Sus scrofa: one gene and its partner. The protein of the gene in region 1 purifies or fractionates together with the protein of each later gene. This does not show direct contact. Links are inferred from orthologs where the notes say so. Each region holds a gene or a part of one and is shown on either strand. Other genes may lie near its edges.

Region 1 (4,536 bases):
AGCGAGGCCAGGGATTGAACCCACATCCTACAGACACTGGTCGGATTCGCTTCCGATGAGCCATGAGGAAAACTCCTGAAGATGTTTATTTTTTAAATTTTTATTAAAGCACAGTTGATTTAGAACGTTGTGCCAATTCTGCTGTACAGCAAAGTGACCCAGTCATGCACATATATACAATCTCTTTTAACACATATTATCTCCCATCATGGTCCATCCCCGGAGGTTGGATATAGGTCCCTGTGCTGGACAGCAGGACCTTACTGTCCATCCATTCTAAAATTTATTCACTTTTATAAAAGAAGAAGAAACCACAAGAAAATATAAACAGTCGATCCCTGTCTTTTTTCCCCCATAGCAAAAGGATATATAATTAATTCCTACCTAAAGAAAGATAATCAAATTATAAGAAAACAGACAACTGTTTCTAGAAAAAGTGCAATTAGTTTGACAGTGTAGACATGAGTTAATATAGAAATGAGTGGTTTTGCCTGCGCATATGGCGAAGCAGCCATATGATCAGATTGCTTTTAAAAAAAAAGATATGGAAGGAGAAAAACAGAAATAATCCCGTAACTGGATTCTAGAGGCGTCACCGAATAACTCACACACTGGTAAAGTTCACCAAAGAATAGTTATCAGTTAGGTTTGAAAGAGTATTTGATTTCATGTGTCTAATGTCATAGCAAAGGGGCATTTTATTTTATTTTGCCTTTTTTTTTTTTTTTTTTTTTTTTTAAGGGCTTCACCCAAGGCATATGGAGGTTCCCAGGCTAGGGGTCTATAATCGGAGCTACAGCTGCCGGCCTACACCGCAGCCACACCAAGGTGGGATCCGAGCCGCATCTGCGATCTACACCACAGCTCATGGCAACGCCAGATCCTCAACCCACTGATCGAGGCCAGGGATCGAACCCGCAACCTCATGGTTCCTCATCAGATTGGTTTCTGCTGCACCACAGGGCAACTCCTAAAGGGGCATTTTATTTTATTTTATTTTTTGTCTTTTTGCCTTTTCTAGGGCCGCTTCCCATGGCATATGGAGGTTCCCAGGCTAGGGGTCTCATCGGAGCTGGAGCCGCCAGCCTACACCAGAGCCACAGCCATGCAGGATCCGAGCCGCGTCTGCAACCTACACCACAGCTCATGGCAAACGCCAGATCCTTAACCCAGAGCAAGGCCTGGGATCAAACCCACAACCTGATGGTTCCTCATCAGATTTGTTTCTGCCGCACCACAGGGGAACTCCTAAAGGGGCATTTTAAAGTGTAAGGCACACTGACGTTTCTGCGGATTGGTGCAGCACGGGCGGCTGCTGGTCTGGAGGGGGTAAGGGAGTCAAAGCACCGCAATGGGCAGTGTGTCTGGCCCACCCCCAGGGGGGACGGGGTCTGGGAGGGTCGAGGAGGTCCACCCGGCCCTCCGCATTGCCGCTCACGGCTCAACTCGCCTTTTCATCCCCAAGCGTTGGAAGAGAAGAGAAATTACACTAGCAAGCACAGCCTAGGGGAACGCTGGTCCCACCCTCCAGCCAAACCGCTGAGAACACCCCTGGGACCAAACATGTCTCATACACATCCCGTTACCTACTGCGGCTGGGTTTTCCAGAATGTGTTCCTCTAGAGGCACCAGGGTGGCACCTGCTGTCTACACTACATTGTAATATGGACTCAAGAGTCCATGGGGACACCTTTCCTGCAGGCAGCCTTCCCACCCCTTCCCAGAATCAGAGAGGAGTTCGCTCCCCCAACTGCAACAGGCTGTCCTTCCCAAGGGAGCTCCGAGAAGGTGCCACAAGCTCCTGGCGTCTGGCTGGAGAGTGGACTCGCTGGGGAGAACTTTGATTCAAGTTCCCAGGGCTGAACAGAAACGCCTTCTCTCTGGCCAAGGTCTCTTTCTCAAAGAAAGCTCATCAATATGGGAGACCAGTTTGAGGCGTTCCTAAGCCAGAAAAAGCCAAGCTCCCATAACCGTGCCCTCTTCCAGCGGAAACCTCGGTGGGCGCGGCTTCCCCAACCTGTGCCCGACGGCGGTCCGCGCGGGGACGGAGGGGCCCTTTGTTAAAGACACGGACGCTTTCCTTCTCCTGCGCCCCCCCCCCCCCCACACATCTGATGCCAGCGTCGCTGCCCCACGCAGTCCCCCTTGGTCTGATGTGAGTCAAAACCAACTTTCCCTCCACGCCTCCACCCTACCCGACCTCGCCAAGGATCACCCGGAGCGAGGATTCCGAGGAACTCCGAACACCCGGGCCCTGGATCTGATTGGTTACTTTCGGGCAAAAAATGTCCCAAACTTCACTTCCGAATCCCCCATCGCTGTGACAAAACGAGCAAAGCCACCGCCTTTCCCTGTATCGGGTCTCTCTTCCAGTCCCTTAATCCGGGTGCCCACTCGGCAGCATCAAGCATTCCTCCCCAGCCCGGGCCCGGACTCGCCGGGACAGCCCCCGGCCCGGCTCCGGGGAGGCACGCGGCCCGGGAGCCGGCGGGAGGGCGCCCGCGCCGTCGGGGCCCGAGGTGCCGACTCCGCAGGTCCTCCCGCGTCCCGCCGTCCCCGGGCGCGGTGACCCCCGCGAGGCCGCCCGAGCCCTCAGCGACCCCGGGCGGGAGGCCGCAGCAGGGTCGGGGGCGGAGGACCCGTCCCGCCCGGCCCCGGCCCGGCCCGGCCCCGGCCCCAACCCCGCGCGGGCAGCACTCACGTATCTGTGCACGAGCGTCCGCACGAGGCTGCAGTCCATGGCTCCTCCGGCCGCGCCCGCCCGCTCAGCGCCCCCAAGCCCGGCTCGGCGCGCCCATGGGCCCGGGCCCGAGTGCGGCCGCGCGCCCCGCCCCGGTCACGGCCTGGGCGCGCCGGGCGGTGCGGGGGGCGGCCGCGGCCCCTCCGCGCTCATGCCCGGCCCGGCCCGCGGCGGCCGGCGAGGGGTGGCCGCTCGGCGGGCGGCCGCTCGGTGGCCGGAGCCCGCGCGCCGCGGCTGGGGCGATGGGGCTGCGGCTGGGCGCGCGGCGGCCGGCCGATCCCGCCGCTGCTCGGCTCCGCGCTCCGGCTCCTCTGCTCTCCTGCGCTCCGCTCTCCGCTCTGCTCTCCTCCCGGCCTCCGCCCGCCGCCCCTCTCAGCCCGGCCTCCGGCCCCGGTCCCGGCGCGCACGTCACGAGCGCGAGTGAGCATGCGCCCCGCCGCCCGGCCCCCGCCCCGCTCCCGCGCCCTCGCAGACTCCGGCCCGCGCGCCCGGCCCTCCCCGAGGCCCGCCCCCGCAGCCCGGGCGCCCGGGGCCCTGGGGCGGAGGGCGGAGGGCGGGGGGCCCGCGGGCGGGGAACGGCTTCCTGTTGCTTCCGCCTCCCGGGCGGGGATGCGCGCCAGACACCTGGGGCCCGGAGGGCGGGGAGCCGGCGCCTGGCACCGGGTCCGTCCGGGGCGCAGGCACGCGGGCCTCAAACTTCCATCCACCCCGGAAGGCCCGAGGGCGGCGCGGGGAGTCGGGGAGGGGGCGGGGGAGCGGGGGAGGGTTGGGCCCGAGACCGGCTGAATCGGGTCTGTGTCTCCCCAGTGCCAGGCCGGCCCCACGCGAGGCCCCTCCTGCTCTGCAGGTGACAGAGGCGGAGGCGGGCCTCAAGTGGCTGCCCAGGGTCGCGCGGCTTCTCCGCGCCGCAGGGAAGATGGGCGCAGGGTCCCCCACCTGGGATCCTTGCTTCTTTCTGAAATCCCACAGGCGCCCGAGCCCTGGGCCCCTGGCCCTTTGGACTCCAGAGCTGTGACAGTCGCAGGCACTCGTTATCCGGCGGGGGTGAGGGGTAGAAATCAGCCTCGAACCTGTTAGTCCAGCCTCCAGCCCCACAGGCCACGCTGCCTGTTGCTGTCGGGCCGGTCCAGCTCCTGCCTCCGCCGCTAGCTCCGCCGAGAGGGAGCTCTGGGCCCCGGGGCGCGCGCCTGTGCAGCTCTCTGGGCATCAGGCATCAGGCGGGGAGAGCGTTTCTGTCAGGCAGACGCCTGGGTTCAATGCGGGGAATGTTTCCGCTTTCCCAGCATGAAGCAAACTATCTCTTCTCAACCCCGGCCCGCCCTGTACCGGTGCACTTTGTTTCCAACTTCCGTTCTTGGGGCCAAGGGCCACCACTTGTGAAACCCGAGGGGCCTGACAAGGCCTTTGGCGACCGATCCGATCCGGGCCTTGCCGGAACGCACCTGAGTGTTCTTCTGGCTGCTTTTCGGGAAGAAGCACGGGCACTTGGGGTTAGACGCGGAGACTAGGAAGGAGCACTAGTGAATAATCGGGTAATCAGGCCCAAACCATCCCGACGCTGACGTGCTTTTCTGCGGAAAATGCTCCAGTTTGGGGTCAGCTAACTCAATGATTCTCCACTTTCCTTCCAAATCTACTCTCTCCTGCTTTGTGTCTAGGAGGCCCAAGGCCCCCCTGGGGGATCTGCACCAACAGAGGTGCCCGCTGCCAACTGGAGACCAGGAGAGAGATGGGGCCTTCCTTCCCTCCACCACGCCCTGGCCTCACCTTCGCCTGGCAGTGTCTGTTTCCCTTAG
Region 2 (3,806 bases), on another chromosome or scaffold:
TATAGTAATGCTTTACTTTGTTGAGGTTTTTCAAGTATCAGAAGTAAAATAAAGAGCTACAGCTTATTACAAAAGACTTCTTAAAGACCTGAAAAGACATTTTTCCAGAAAAGACATACAGGTGAACAACAGGCAAATGAAAGATGCTCAACATCACCAATCATCACGAAAAATGCAAATCAAAACCAATGAGATATCACTTCACATCTTTAAGAATGACTATCATCAAAAAGACCACAAATAACAAGTGTTGGCAAGGATATGAAGAAAAGGGGACACCTGTGCACTGTTAATGGAATTGTAAATTGGTGAACCCACTTTGGAAAGCAGTATGGAGGTTTCTCAAAACATTAAAAGTAGGACCACCATATATATATGATCAAGGAATTTCACTTCTGGATATATATCCAAAGAAAATGAAATAACTATCTTGAAGACATATATCTATACCTCCATGTTCATGATAACATTATTTATAACAAAGACATGGAAGCAACCTAAGTGTCCATCAATAGATAAATGGATAAAGAAGAGGAGTACACACACACACAGGATGGACTACTACTCAGCTATTAAAAAGGAATGAAATTTTGCCACTTGCAACAATATGGACTTGGAGGGTATCTTACTAAATATGTTAGAGAATGACAAATACTGTATAACATCACTTATATGTGGAATCTAAAACATAAAACTAGTGCATATAACAAAAAAGCAGACTCGCAGATATAGAGAACTAGTAGTTATCAGTGGGTGAGGGACAAGGTAGCCGTAGGTGATTAAAAGGTACAAACTACTATGTGTAAAATTAGCTACAGGACTATATTGCACAGCACAGGGAATATACCTAACATTTTCTAAATATAAACATAACCTTTAAAAATTGTGATTCGCTATGTAGTATACCCGAAACATACAATGTTATACTCGGAACTATAGCGGGGGCAGGAGGGGGAAGAGAGCTCTTGGGAGTTCTCTGGTGGCTCAGAAGATTAAGGATCCTGACTTGTCACTGCTGTGGGCTGGGTTTGATTCCTAGCCGAAAAACTTCCATCTGCCGCTAGAATGGCCAACCTCCCCCCGCCCCCCTCAAAAAAAACCAAACAAAAACAACCTCTTAAATCAACGTGCAAAAGATAAGCGTGGACACAAAAAGGCTGGTACACAGTAACCTGGCGACCATTAATAGTAAAGAAATAAGTGAGAACAGCTCAACTGAGGGCAAGCGAACAGGGTTAACCCAGTGACATGATTTACTCTTGAGGACTAAAGGTTAATCCATCATACATCCCATTTAACACTTATTTGCACCTTGAGCGGAGGGTTATTTTTTTAATTGGAGAAAGTCGCGGTTTTCCACCTCAAGCCAATACTGCCACTCGCACGAGGCTCAGGCTCCCTCGGTGGGGTCTTTTCAATGCCCCGACCCCCCGATGGAGAAGGCTTCGAGGTCTGCGCCCAAGCCCAGTCTCCTGGGCTGACCGGCTGGCCCCGCCCGGGGTCGGACCTGACCAAGGCGGCGGCCGTCATGACGTCCACCCGGCAGCAGAGATGCGCGAATAGAAGCTCTCGCGAGGCAGCGAGGACGCGCCTGTGGGGCAAGCGCCGAGGCCACCCGCTCCCTGCGCTCGCCCCAGCGCCGCGCATGCGCCAACGTAGTCTCACGCTCTGCGGTCGAGGCCCTCACTTTGTCGTCACAGGGCAGATGGTCCGGGTGCGTCGGCCTTTTCCCTCCCCCCTTCCATCCTCCTTCCCTTCCCCCTCCCCTTGTCCCTCAGTCTTCTTCCCCAGTCCTGTCTCCCTCCCGGCGGCGTACCCGGTCGACGCCCGCTTCCGGTCAGAGGCAGTCTGCGGAAGGGTGTCCCGCCTCTTCCGCCTTCGCAGCGGAGGTGGCGGCGGCGCCTGCGCGTCTCGGGTTGGGGTTGGCAGGCGGGTCCCCTGGGCGGTCCACCTGCGCGTCGCGGGGCCGCGCCCTGGGGGTCGATGGCGATGAACTATAACGCGAAGGACGAGGTGGACGGCGGGCCCCCGTGTGCCGCGGGGGGCACCGCTAAGAACCGGAGGCCGGATAACACGGCCTTCAAGCAGCAACGGCTGCCAGCCTGGCAGCCCATCCTTACGGCCGGCACGGTGCTGCCCACCTTTTTCATCATTGGCCTCATCTTCATCCCTATCGGCATCGGGATCTTTGTCACCTCCAACAACATCCGCGAGATCGAGGTGAGCGGGGGAGGGCGCGGCCAAAGGCAGGCGCCTCTCCCTCTCTGACCCGGGGCTCTCCCCCCGGGGCCGCCGCCTCCCCGGTTTTCTCCTTTCGCGCTTTTGCCCGCGCTTGCTCCACTGTTTACCCGGTTGGAGAGAGTGAGTGTGTAGTGCAGGGTGTGGGTCCGGGGAAGAACGCCCCTTTCATGGGCGGTTGGTGTGGTTTTTACCTCCAGCCGAGACGAAAAAAAGAGAAGTTAGAGGGAGATAAAGCCCCAGGAGGATTGGCACGGTCAGAGTATCATTACCTGTGCGGGAATTATCCCTAGACGCAGAGCCTTTACTTAGCCCAGGACCTTGGCTTTTGCCTTGGGAAGGTCCAGGGTCAAAGAGTCATTGCCGAATTTATGTACAGAAGTCGTGTTACCAGATCACGTGTTAGGGTCTATGGCCGAAGTGTGTACAGTACCTTTAATTTTGATCTAATAGATGCTTTTAGTTGTAGGGCATGATACCGGTAAAAGGTAATCCGAAATTTCAGTTCGGATTTTGCTTTTAGGCTACGTTGATTAATAACCTTGCCTTACATTCGCCCTAGTTCCCCACCCCCGCCCTTAGATTTTAAGCTTAAAAAAGAAAAAAATCAATGACCACATACAGAATAACTTGTGAGGTGTCGACTGAACATTTTACAGACATAAGACATGATAAACTTGGGGAAGCATCTTGTGTCAGAGAAAGTCATCTTTATCCCTTTGCAAGGAACATAGGTTGATACAGAATGTTGGTACTTTGGTGTCCGGCATTAAACATCTGCTCATTATCTTTTTTTGAATATCTGAGAGTATTTTTATCTGCTTGAAAGGGGAAGAACTGCTACAAAGATCTCTTGATTTCTTCTGTTCTATCAGATTATGTCTTTTACCCTCTAATTCATTAACTACTTTAAAATTTATGCATGCTATTTAATAGGGCTTTCAGAGCAATTTTATTTCGGCTACAGGAATAGGCATACTTTCCAGTTTAATTTACAAGGTTACCTGTAAAAGCAAAATCATTATATTTTTTAAATTGTACAGTGCTCATTGCTGTGTTAATAGAAATAAGAATAGTATTTACAGGATAGTTTTTAAATCTTTTCCTAAAAAAATTCTTTCCGTTTAATAACTAGAGAAAGCATCACATTGGTTTTTTCAGCATGTATTTTTGTTTTATCTTTTTTATTTCCTCAGTAGTCTTTCACATGTAGTACTTTCTGTTCTCCCAACCATGCAGGACCACACGTACCAGAATGTGAGCAGAGTGGTGTAATGCAAGGAGGGTGGGCTCTAGGCAGGAGTCAGACAGAGATGGGTTTAAATTCTAGCTCAGCCACTTACTAGCTCAGTTTCTTGGAAAACCTGGTCTCTTTGAGCCTCAGTTTCCTCACCTGTAAAATAAGTAAATAATGCCTATCTTGTGAAATGTAAAAATTAGAAACAATACAGATAATATTCCTGGCACTACGTTTGTACAGTAGTTATTTTTATTCAGGAAATGAGAAATGAAGTCAGAGGGGTTGATACTTATTAGTAAACTAGAAGAATATTGTAAAATTGAGACAG

The links.
Region 2: the proteins of ATP11A (region 1) and TMEM30A purify together in Homo sapiens (co-immunoprecipitation; 4 studies listed by BioGRID and IntAct, with this or other methods). This does not show direct contact. The link is inferred for Sus scrofa from reciprocal best matches to the Homo sapiens genes ATP11A and TMEM30A.

Annotation. Positions count from the first base shown.
Region 1 is NC_010453.5:78,292,027-78,296,562, reverse strand, and holds the start of ATP11A (probable phospholipid-transporting ATPase IH), read right to left. Parts: upstream 2,850-4,536; 5' UTR 2,741-2,849; coding exon 2,702-2,740; intron 1-2,701. UniProt on the Homo sapiens protein: Catalytic component of a P4-ATPase flippase complex which catalyzes the hydrolysis of ATP coupled to the transport of aminophospholipids, phosphatidylserines (PS) and phosphatidylethanolamines (PE), from the outer to the inner leaflet of the plasma membrane.
Region 2 is NC_010443.5:90,649,040-90,652,845, forward strand, and holds part of TMEM30A (cell cycle control protein 50A), read left to right. Parts: 5' UTR 1-1,417; coding exon 1,418-1,714; exon of another isoform or gene 1,715-1,983; coding exon of another isoform or gene 1,984-2,220; intron 2,221-3,806. UniProt on the Homo sapiens protein: Accessory component of a P4-ATPase flippase complex which catalyzes the hydrolysis of ATP coupled to the transport of aminophospholipids from the outer to the inner leaflet of various membranes and ensures the maintenance of asymmetric distribution of phospholipids.